2 linked regions of the Schizosaccharomyces pombe genome follow. The protein of the gene in region 2 interacts with the protein of the main gene of each other region in a biochemical or structural test. Each region holds a gene or a part of one and is shown on either strand. Other genes may lie near its edges.

Evidence for each region. The genes of interacting proteins can lie anywhere in the genome.
Region 1: the proteins of epr1 (region 2) and scs2 form a complex in vitro, tested with the Schizosaccharomyces pombe proteins (one study listed by BioGRID).

What each region holds. Positions count from the first base shown.
Region 1 is NC_003423.3:4,219,827-4,224,865, forward strand, and holds scs2 (VAP family protein), read right to left. Parts: upstream 2,771-5,039; 5' UTR 2,691-2,770; intron 2,556-2,690; 5' UTR 2,541-2,555; coding exon 2,351-2,540; intron 2,081-2,350; coding exon 1,119-2,080; 3' UTR 761-1,118; downstream 1-760. Other genes in the region: mrpl23 (mitochondrial 54S ribosomal protein uL13m), read left to right, coding at 77-97, 140-592; SPOM_SPBC16G5.06 (uncharacterized protein), read left to right, coding at 3,351-4,043; SPOM_SPBC16G5.07C (prohibitin), read right to left, coding at 4,314-4,584, 4,627-5,039.
Region 2 is NC_003424.3:2,423,071-2,428,717, forward strand, and holds epr1 (ATPase co-chaperone protein), read left to right. Parts: upstream 1-2,745; 5' UTR 2,746-3,120; coding exon 3,121-3,209; intron 3,210-3,343; coding exon 3,344-4,397; 3' UTR 4,398-4,462; coding exon of another isoform or gene 4,463-4,705; 3' UTR 4,706-4,897; downstream 4,898-5,647. Other genes in the region: pqr1 (ubiquitin-protein ligase E3), read right to left, coding at 1-133; ribosome assembly protein Rsa3, read right to left, coding at 4,463-4,705; tRNA m(1)G methyltransferase Trm10, read left to right, coding at 4,950-5,647. UniProt on the Schizosaccharomyces pombe protein: Reticulophagy receptor required for autophagosomal sequestration of endoplasmic reticulum (ER) membranes during ER stress. Confers resistance to ER stress by promoting the autophagic degradation of the ER (ER-phagy or reticulophagy).

The DNA of each region.
Region 1 (5,039 bases), on a different chromosome or scaffold from region 2:
CACTGATATTGTACTGTCGCTTTAAGAGAAAAATCAGAAGGAACTGAGGATTTTATGATATAGAAATCTCAACGCGATGTCAACGTTGAATGGACAAGTATGAAATTAGTTTGACAGTTTCTTTTACTAACAATATCAGACAGCATTGGCTTACGCCAAAGTTTGGCATCATGTTTCTGCAAAAAATGTTCCTCTAGGTAGGCTGGCTTCCCAAATTGCAACTACTCTTATGGGCAAGCACAAACCCATTTATCACCCTGCAGCAGACTGTGGAGATGTCGTAGTAGTCACTGACTGTTCTGAAATTGGGATTTCTGGTCGAAAACTCGAAAATCATAAATATTATTCACATTCGGGTCAGCCTGGTCATCTTAAAGAGTGGACGATGGAAGAAATGGCTGCGAAACGGGGGCACAAGGATTTGTTGAGAAGAGCAGTTGGTGGAATGCTTCCAAGAAATAAGCTTTGGGATAGGAGAATGAAACGTCTTTATATTTACGATGGAGCTGAACACCCTTATAAGGCAAACATATTTCGTTCCTACCATAATCCTGTAAGTTCGCAAATTGCGAAGGAATTATTCTCGAAATAAGTGTTTAAAATCTCCTTTAATTTTAAAAGGTAGTTCAAAGAACAAAAGCCATATCCCTACTCACTTAAATTTCATTGATTTTTTGCATTAATGTTTGAACATTCCACAATGTCGTATGCCCTAAAAAGCTAACACATTTTAATATTGTTCTTTCCAAAAAAAATTATTTTATATAAATTAATGTTATTGTATTCACTATAAGAAGCTGTAATGTATTTAAAGACACATTTACGTTTGTGAACTGGTAAGAATGAATGTCTGGTAACCATAAGAGGACTACAACTTTTCTTGCGAGTAAAAAGTAGATAACATGAGACGTCGACATAAATAACGACATTTGGAAATTATCTCCAAAGCCAGATAAACGCGCTAAAAAGTACCCTATCGTTGTGAAGAGCAAACAAATTCAACAAACGTCAACCTAAAACCTTGCTTAGCAAAGGCCATATAAAGTAATAAAATCAAGAGCCATTAACTTAGGGAGAAGATTTTACACTTCTTATTAAACATATCTACGCTTTACATTTTAAAAGAAAAGATAGCCAATAAGGAAGAAAATCAGGCAAAGAATGATAACAATATTGGGAGGAATTCCTGGAGATTCGGTTAAAGAAGCACCAGTGGAACTCGAAGGGTCAGCTGAATAAGAGGGCTTGATTTGTTCCAAGGCGTTGTCGGAACTATGAGCACCTGCAGCAGGTTTTGCCCCTTGTAAAGATTCACGAGTTTCAGATCCGAGATTTTCAGAAACTTTTTCAACGGCAGGGGTAGATTCAGGAAGTTTAGAATCGAAATCATTCTTCTTAGTATCAAATTCTTCATTGACAGCTGATAAATTTTGGGGGACGGGAGGAGGGGGGTGGACTGGTGGAGTCGAAGAAACAGAGCGACGAGGGCTTTCTGAAGGCTTTGGAATTTCATTATCAATAATATCTTGTACCTTCGATCTAGCAACATCGGCTCCTTTGGAAGAAGCACTTTCGGCTGTCACAATGGTATCTTTGACAGAAGCAGCACCATTGTCAGCATCAGTAACAACGGTTTGAACTACACTGGCGTCGGGAATTTGTGCACTTTCGAAAGTAGAGCGGAAGGTACTATCTGGAACAACAGTATTAACACCATTGCTTAAATGATCCTTTGCTCCATTGAAGTCATTTTGAGCTTCATCCAAAGACACACCAACCGCCGTAGGGCCGCCGACAGAAGATGCTAAGTTTTCGGAACCTTCAACAGAAACAGGGGGGTTAGAAGTACTAGTGTTCTCAACCTGTTTATCAGCGGATTGAGGAGGTTGCTTAGTTGAATAAACACAGCGGATTTTACGATCAAAAATGGAACGGCCTTGTTTTTCCATTTCAGTCCAAAACTCGTGATAATTTTCGACATTACTGGTATCAGCATCACCGATAGCCATACTTTGAATTAAAAACTTGTCACGACATTTAAAGTCAGGAGCAGGCTCCTCCTTCATAGCTTGAAGCAAAACTAGAATATATGTTAGCCAAGATAATAGAAAAACACTAGAGGCACGTAAAGATAAAAAAAAAAGATGATAGTAGTTTATTCCAAAAAAAGAAGAGCGAAAAACAACAAACTTTAAAAGAATAAAATATAATATCACAACTTTTAAAAGTCCAAAATGTATTTATATCTTATCTAAATATAAAAACATTTGAAAGACATAAAAAAGACTACAAAAAAATAAATGTGAACAGATAGATAGGTGGTTCGCTCCAGAGTAAATAAATTACAAACCTTGTACGTTCACCGTAGATTTTGGTTCAATTTTTCCTGAGTTGGGACGAACACAGTAGTGCTTGGGAGCAGTAGTCTTCACCTTGAAAATGACAGGCTCGGGATTGGGATTATGGACGGAGATGAGCTCCTTCGACATAGTCGTAAAAGGAGGATAGAAAAACAACTCTCCACTACACTCGACACTCATTGTGAATAACTATCTCTATTTAGGTTAATAAATATGTAAAACATTTCAGCACATTATTGGTATTTTGAGATCAGACACAACAACGAGCTCAAGGAATTCGCAAGCGGATGAACTTTCATCTTTTATTTAATGCAAAGTAATAAATCATACCTAAAATATGAAAAGATAAGCGCGTGGACCGCTTCCTAACAAGTTGTACCAAAAATAGGAAACTTCTCAAGTTGGTAGTTGAGTGGTATGCGCGCACCCCATACCTATTTGTGGACGTAGGAAATGGCTAGCAAATGACGGTGAACTCGGTGACCCTCGGTAAATTAATCGGTGAATAGGCTTATTGAACACCATGTAAAAGGCTCGCTACTTTAATTCCGCTATCATATACTGGTTAATTAAATTTCTTATTAATTTTTATTCTTTCAGTTAACCCTCTAATATATGGTATTGTTTAAGGACTTGAAATGGTTAGTATTCAGAATTAATGTAAGTCTTTGCTTGTTCGGTGAGAGATTCAAGTGTAACCAAAATATCACGAACTTCGACTAAGGCTTTTCTTTCAGAGGTATATCTCTTGAGTGATCTTTTCTCTTTTATTTTCATCTGGTAAATACTATCTACCCTAATTCATCACTATCGTTCTCGTTTTTTGCATAACAAACATAGTGTAGCTTGATTTCTACACCCTTGATTCATTTTGCTATTTATTGCGCTTTCCATTTTTAAAACTCCTTTTGCATTGTTAGAAATATTTTCTAGTTAATCATTAAAACTTTTTATTTGTGTGAGGGTAACTCGATAACTTCTTTTAAATCAATGAACATCCGGTCTTTTCTTTTGATTTCAATTTTTACTGCCATAAGTTATCTAGTGGTGGATGGGGCTACTCCTAGAACTTTTGCACCATCTGCCAGTGTCAGTATAAACTATGGTACATTGAGCACCGTATTTCCTAGTTTATACCGAAGGGCCTCAACTTCTTCGAGCTCAAGTTCTTCTTCTATATCCACCAGCCATGATAGTCAACCATCGACCTCCTCCTCATCACCTTCCTCTACTTCGACCAGTTCTAGTTCAGGCACGTCAGTGATTACAGCTTCAGATGTTTCAGCATCAAATGAAATTATTTCTTCCAGCACCAATAATTCTATTCATCAGCAGGTATCTGTTGTGACAGAGTACGTTACCATTCAACCGACTACATATGTTACGACGATATTTCAATACACGTCGCTTGCTTCAACTATTGCTGCACAAAGTGGCATTGCGTCTCTCGTTCCTCAGACTTACACACCCTATGGAGGTGTGAAAGCTCTCATAGGTATTTTGGTGGGTGTTGTGGTTGGTTCTGTGTTTCTTCTTGCTATTGTGATGGTTATTGCTAGGATTTGGGGACCTCGTTTGCTTGCTAACAAAGATCAGAACAATAACAACGAAGATCTCGATAGTAATTTAGTTTCAAAAGACTCGGAGGGAACTCCACAAATCACATACGCTTCAAATTTCTAATTTGTAAGTTTTTTTTACTTGTTTTATTGGCTCTTAATGTTTTGTATACTATTCATTCACGTCTTCTACATTTAATGATAGATTTTGTTTGACGACGCACGCCCAAAGCTTGTTATTTCAATCTTCATCAACTATTGATTTTATTTATAGATTAGTGAAAACAATTTAGTTCATTTTCCACATCATGATAATTATTTTTATAACGGTAAGGCAGATATTGAATGGTTAGTTATGGTGTATTCAGAATTCCTCATTAACTCTTAATGTTTATTACTTCTCGTCAGTATGCAATTCTTTCGGAGTCGATTTATCAGGAGCGGTAGTTTTAGAAACTTGTTTAAAAATAGACAAGGCTTGAGCAACCATACCAGATACATCGCTCGTTGATGCAGGAACAATCATACTGTTGGAAGCTTTGGCCAATTTCCCGAAATTCGTAATATACTGCTGAGCAATGTATAAACTAACGGCTTCCAAACCGTGTTCTTGCTTCTTGATACTGTCAGCTAATACAGCAATGCCAGAAGCAGTAGCAGAAGCCCTAAAAATGTGAGTAATATATTCATATGAAAATAAAGCTTACTTTTCACGAATTGCTTGAGCTTCTGCCAAGGCGGAATTAATAGTTTTTATTTTTTGACCTTCCGAGTCTAAAATTTCTGCTTGTTTGTCACCCTCAGCAACATTGATTGCGGCTTGTCTTTTTCCTTCAGATTCTAAAATTTCTGCACGCTTTTGTCTCTCTGCGGAAACTTGTTGATGCATCGCCATGACCACGCTTTCAGGGGGTCGAATATCGCGTATTTCATGCCGTAAACAACGTATTCCCCAACTTTCAGCTGCCTTGTTGATAGCATCTGTTATATGAATGTTCAGTGATTGACGCTCGCGTAAGACATGATCCAAAGTTAATCGACCAATTTCGCTTCTCATTGTAGTTTGAGCAAGTTGAGATATGGCATAATCAGCATCTTCCACGCCGTAACTTGCCTTATA
Region 2 (5,647 bases):
GACCCAAGGAAGACAGCTCAAAAACGAACCTTTTAATACATTTTTTTAAGGCCTTGTACTGAATGGCAGCCTCGCCCCAACCAGGGGGCATATCGTTTTCGAGAGCCCTTTTAAAATCGTGTCCAAATTTCATATCGGAAGGACTTTTTTTCAATGAAAATGAAAGAGGATGAAACCTTTACAAAAGATTGAAATCAAAATATTTGAAAGGCGGTAAAACTACAGAATAAAAAACCAAAGCCCAAGAAGGAGAAAGCTTTGTGGTTTTTATAAAAATGAGTGCTCCGACCTTTGCAATCGAAGTATCGGAGTTAAGTATTTTCTTTATTACAAGCAGATGGAGAAAGAAAGCTTGCAAGATAGAGTTTCGCAGAGTTGAATTGCGTACGTTTTGATTAAAATATATATATATTAGTAATGGAATGAAGTGAAGAAAAAAGTAACAGCCCAAAGACCTAAAAGCTGCTTGTGATAAAACAACAAGCTACAATGGGACGAAATTAGATAGAATAGATAAATGGAATGGGAATGAAAATAAATAAAATGATTTTCTAATACCACGTTTCGAATCAACCGAAACCGTCGTTCGCAAACGGAGACCTGCCTGGCTTGATTCAACCAAAGGTACGTGAGTGTTTAAAATTGTAAAGAGATGCGTAACTCCTTAATACTTATACATATAGTAAATGAATTTTCGATACTATTTCAAAAGTTTTAACACTGTACTAATCGTCAAAATCCTTGTTGGTTCATGACAGGTGAAAATCCTTGCAGTCCTTTCGCATCCTTATATTGCACCGCGTTAGACGACGCAAGGTGGCAAACCAAAGCATTTCCCCCTGACGTCATAAAAAGAGCGGAGGAACTTGCGGTATAGGTAATACTACCCAACCGCACTCGGGTTCGCAATGTTATTAGTAAACGGCCTTCCGGTAAGCCTTACAGTAAAAGGAAAGGAAGCAGGGGCAATTGGAAGACCAGCAGTGGTACGAAATCTTCCTTAGCTTTATAGAATGAGGCTTGTGCTGATTGTCAACAATTTGCTGACAATGTGTGAAACGTACAGAGTTGGGTTGTTGAACAAATGTTCTGTAGCACTGTGCCAAAAGAGAAAAAATAAAAAAAAATAAAAAAAAAAGAGAGATAAAGGATAGTCGGTAAGAAGTTGAGCCTCTTTGTTTTCCTCTTTTTTGTATTGTTTTTAATTTTGTATGTATATGATAATAAGTAGGTATCTAATTATATTTGATTGATCCGATTAAACCGGACTATGACTGTAATAACCATTTTATTCACGATTAGTTAACGGTGTGCCACAAAAAACTAAAACAGATAAGGGCAAGTTTCGTATGGAATTATTGTACATTATCGTATTGAGTAAGTAGATAAACGTGTTTGATGACTATAGACATTAAAAGGATTATCGAGATTGTAAAATTTTGGTTTTTTTACAGATTAGAAAAAAAAAGAAAAAAAAAAAAAAAAGAGGAGAAGGACATGTTGCAAATCCGTGAGTCAATAAAACAATTCTGGAAGAAGCAATTTTTTAGTATTCACAATGTAAAGGAAAGGACGACAATTACAATTTCATTGAATAATCCCAAGCTATAGGAGAGACTTAAAACGAGTTTGAAATATTGAAGAATATAGAAGGATAAGAAAGTCGATTAGTATGAATTTTGAGATTCTATTAAAATATGAATAGCAGCAATTGTTAAACTATCAAAATTTTTCTTTTATTCATTATACAATGCTATTTACTTATTACGGTGAAAAACTAACACGTCAACCTCAAACAATTTAGGATTTAAACTTTCGCTTTCCAATCAAGTTTAGATTTTTATTTTCCCTAAAAGTAGTCTTCTCATTTGCACATGATTTTGTAATGCTAAGCTTGGGGTAAATGAAAGAGACCTCCCTTTTGTAAAAGAAATCTGCGTAATGCTTATAACATCGGGTCGTAATTGCTTGACTCAATAATGTAAACAAATTTTGTTAAAACTATTTGTCCCTTGAAGAGGCAGTGTTATATAGTCAGATTAGCAACACAATATATTAAAAACATCGAGGAAATTTGCATTAATAAATGCGAAATTTTCGTATTCTATATGAGCGAAACCTTAGCTAAATAGTATTGATTAACTCAGAAAAGACCAAGCATTCATAGCGAAATTAACATGAAAATTCGTGATAATAGCCTTGCTACATGAAGGCAAGAAGTTCGTTTGTTTTTAAGCAATGCAAGCATGGCATTATTATTAGCGCATTGGCTTCTTCTAAAAAACACAATCTTACATTTTAATTCGGTTGTGGAAAAATTTGATCTTTAGTTCAATGTCTTTTGTAAACTGATAATTTTAACTTCATTTTTTGGAAATGTGCATTTTGCTAATGCATATATAGCAGCAAGACCTTAAATAACAATATAAGTTTTCATGAGAACCATGTTTTCTTAATTAAGAAGACAGTAGTTTGTAAACTGTATTAAGATTATACATATATCAATATATGTTAATATATATATTTATTCATATATTCATTTTTTACAAAAGTGATTTTTCGGATTTCAAACTGTCTAAAGTTTGCATGTATAGAACACAAATTTATTTAGGGTTCAAATGATTTCGTACACAACTTTAACTTATGTTTCGCTTGTTGTATTTATTTACTTCAGCATTGGCGAGACGTGAGGGACCACACCATATTATGTATTTGCGGGTTTGTCAACACAGATTTAATTTACCCATAGCATATTACTTTATTTTTTAGCATTAACAGTATTTTGATTCGTTGTTTCTCGTCAATTCGCCTTTTTGTCTCTTTCTACATTTTTTGAAACACAGTTGGGAGCTATTGTCGCCGGTTTGTGAGAAAGATCACCATTTTACATAGAACGTACTGAAGGTATTGTATTTTGGCGATTGAACGGGCAACTCTCAATTTTTTTGCTTTTTTTGTATTTCAATTGTAGAATTGAATTGTTAGTTTATCACAAGCAATCTCAATTGCGGTTGATAATTCATTCCACTCCTCGGCCTTGGAATTTTGTCTTTGAAGCTACTTTATATAAGTCTTTTACTGGTTAACTTATGATTTTATGCAAATTATTTATCACCAATCATGAATAACCCTTTTAAGGATATGGATTGCTATGAAATCTTGCAAGTGAATCATGACTCTGACTTGCAAGAGATTAAAGCAAATTACCGGTATGAAAACTTGTTTTCAACTTAATCAATCAACATAGAATATAAATTTACAGCTTTTCGATCTGTGATTAAAACATAATCGTTTAAGTTGTGAAGAATTGATCGCCTTTGTGTATCTTTACTAATCATAACAGAAAATTAGCTTTGCAATATCATCCCGATAGAAATCCGGGCATTGAAGACTATAACGAAATATTTTCCCAAATAAACGCTGCATACAATATTCTCTCTAATGATGATAAACGAAAATGGCATGAAAAAGACTATCTAAGAAACCAATATTCTGTACAAATTGAAGACGTTTTGCAGCATCTACAAACAATTGAGAAAATCCCTTTTGAAAGCACCTCAGCGTTCGTTGAAAGACTGCGACAAGACGAAAAAATAGCGGGTTCCACAGACGACCTTCCAACTTTAGGGGACACAACTTGGCTTTGGACGTATGCCAAACCTATTTATCAAAAATGGCTAAGATTTTCAACGAAAAAATCTTTTGAATGGGAAGCTCTATATAATGAAGAAGAGGAAAGTGATGCAGCTACACGGCGATTAATGAAGAGACAAAATCAAAGGCAGATACAATACTGCATTCAGCGATATAACGAACTTGTCAGAGATTTAATAGGAAAAGCATGTGATCTTGATCCACGGAGAAAAAACGTTGTGAAACTAAGCGATGGAGAAAGATACAACTCCCTACAAGAAGCATCGCGAAAGCAAAGTGAACGTGATCGGCGTCAGTACCAGGAAACTTTTAAAAACCAATCAATTGCGTCTTGGACAATAATCGATCAGGAAGAAACATCCAGCGATGATGAATCTTTGAGCAAAGAAATTGTGAATTCAAATCCAATAATGTGTATGGTTTGTAACAAGAACTTTCGATCACAAAATCAATTGGAGAACCATGAAAACAGCAAAAAACATAAAAAAAATTTAAGGAAAATGAACCAAGAAATAAAAAAGCACGCAAAAGAAGCCCAGAAAAACGCGGAATCGAATAAACAACCCGAAGATGCTCCTAGCGAATCCCCATATTCGAACAAAGTTTCTTCCTCTGACTTCTATACGAGAAGTTTTGAGGAAATAGAAAAAACATTTACTTTTGTCGAAATCTCTGATAACGAGTTTTATACAGCATCCGAAGATGGTTTTTTGAACGAAGACGATAAGTTGGATCAAGATTAGCACCGCAAGCTTATCTTTTTTAATAGAATAATACAGGTCTGTTTTTTGCTAAGTTATATAAACCATTATTCATAAATTTTGTGACCAGCACGCAAACTTTCAATAAGCAATTGTAGTTTGTTATGATCAAAAATTTCCTTTTGCCTTAAATTGTCTAGCTCTTCTCCAAACTCTGAAGTAAGTTGTTCCATATATTCAGATAGTGATGGCTTTTCTGTTTCTTTTTTTGAAAATGTCTGAAACATAGGATTTTCAAGCATATTTGATACCGTCGATTTGTTATCGATTTTTTGATCGTTTGTTGCCATTTTTCAAAGCTTGTTTTGTCGAAGTTTGTAAATAATACAATTTTGCAAAATTTTTTTATTTTCGACTTCCTGAATCCCTTTATTACCCAAAGTTAATAATTGCGAGATTGGCGTAGTTACCAACTTTTTATACTTCACAACACTCTTACTTTTTCCATTAGATGAACAGCCTGGCTAGGTTCAAAATAACGATATAACTAGATAAATTTAGGCTATATTTTGACTGCAATAAAGTTGGGAAATTATGGAAAACAAAGACGCTTTAGATATTGGTAAAGATGACACAAATACTTCTGAAGCTGACGTTTCTAAAAATGAAACTCAAGAGCAACCCGTTCTTAGCAAATCTGCATTAAAAAGATTAAAAAGACAGCAAGAGTGGGATGCAGGTCGTGAAAAGCGAGCAGAGATGCGCCGGGAAAAAAAGCGATTACGAAAAGAGGAAAGAAAGCGAAAAATTGAAGCTGGCGAAGTAGTTAAAAGTCAAAAGAAGAGGATCAGACTAGGAAAGGTCGTTCCTAGTAGTATCCGAATTGTTTTGGATTGTGCATTTGATGATCTGATGAACGATAAAGAAATCAACTCTTTATGTCAACAGGTTACTAGATGTCATTCTGCAAATCGTACAGCTTTACATCCTGTAGAACTTTTTGCTACCAACTTTGGTGGACGTTTGAAAACCAGACAAGATTTTGTGCTAAAGGGGCAACAAAATAATTGGAAACGATACAACCCAACTACTAAGTCTTATTTAGAGGAATTTGAATCCCAAAAAGAAAAATTAGTATATCTTTCTGCTGATTCAGATAACACCATCACCGAACTCGATGAAGACAAGATTTATATTATTGGTGCGATTGTCGACAAGAATCGGTACAAAAATTTATGTCAAAATAAAGCGTCTGAGCAAGGGATCAAAACTGCAAAGCTTCCAATTGATGA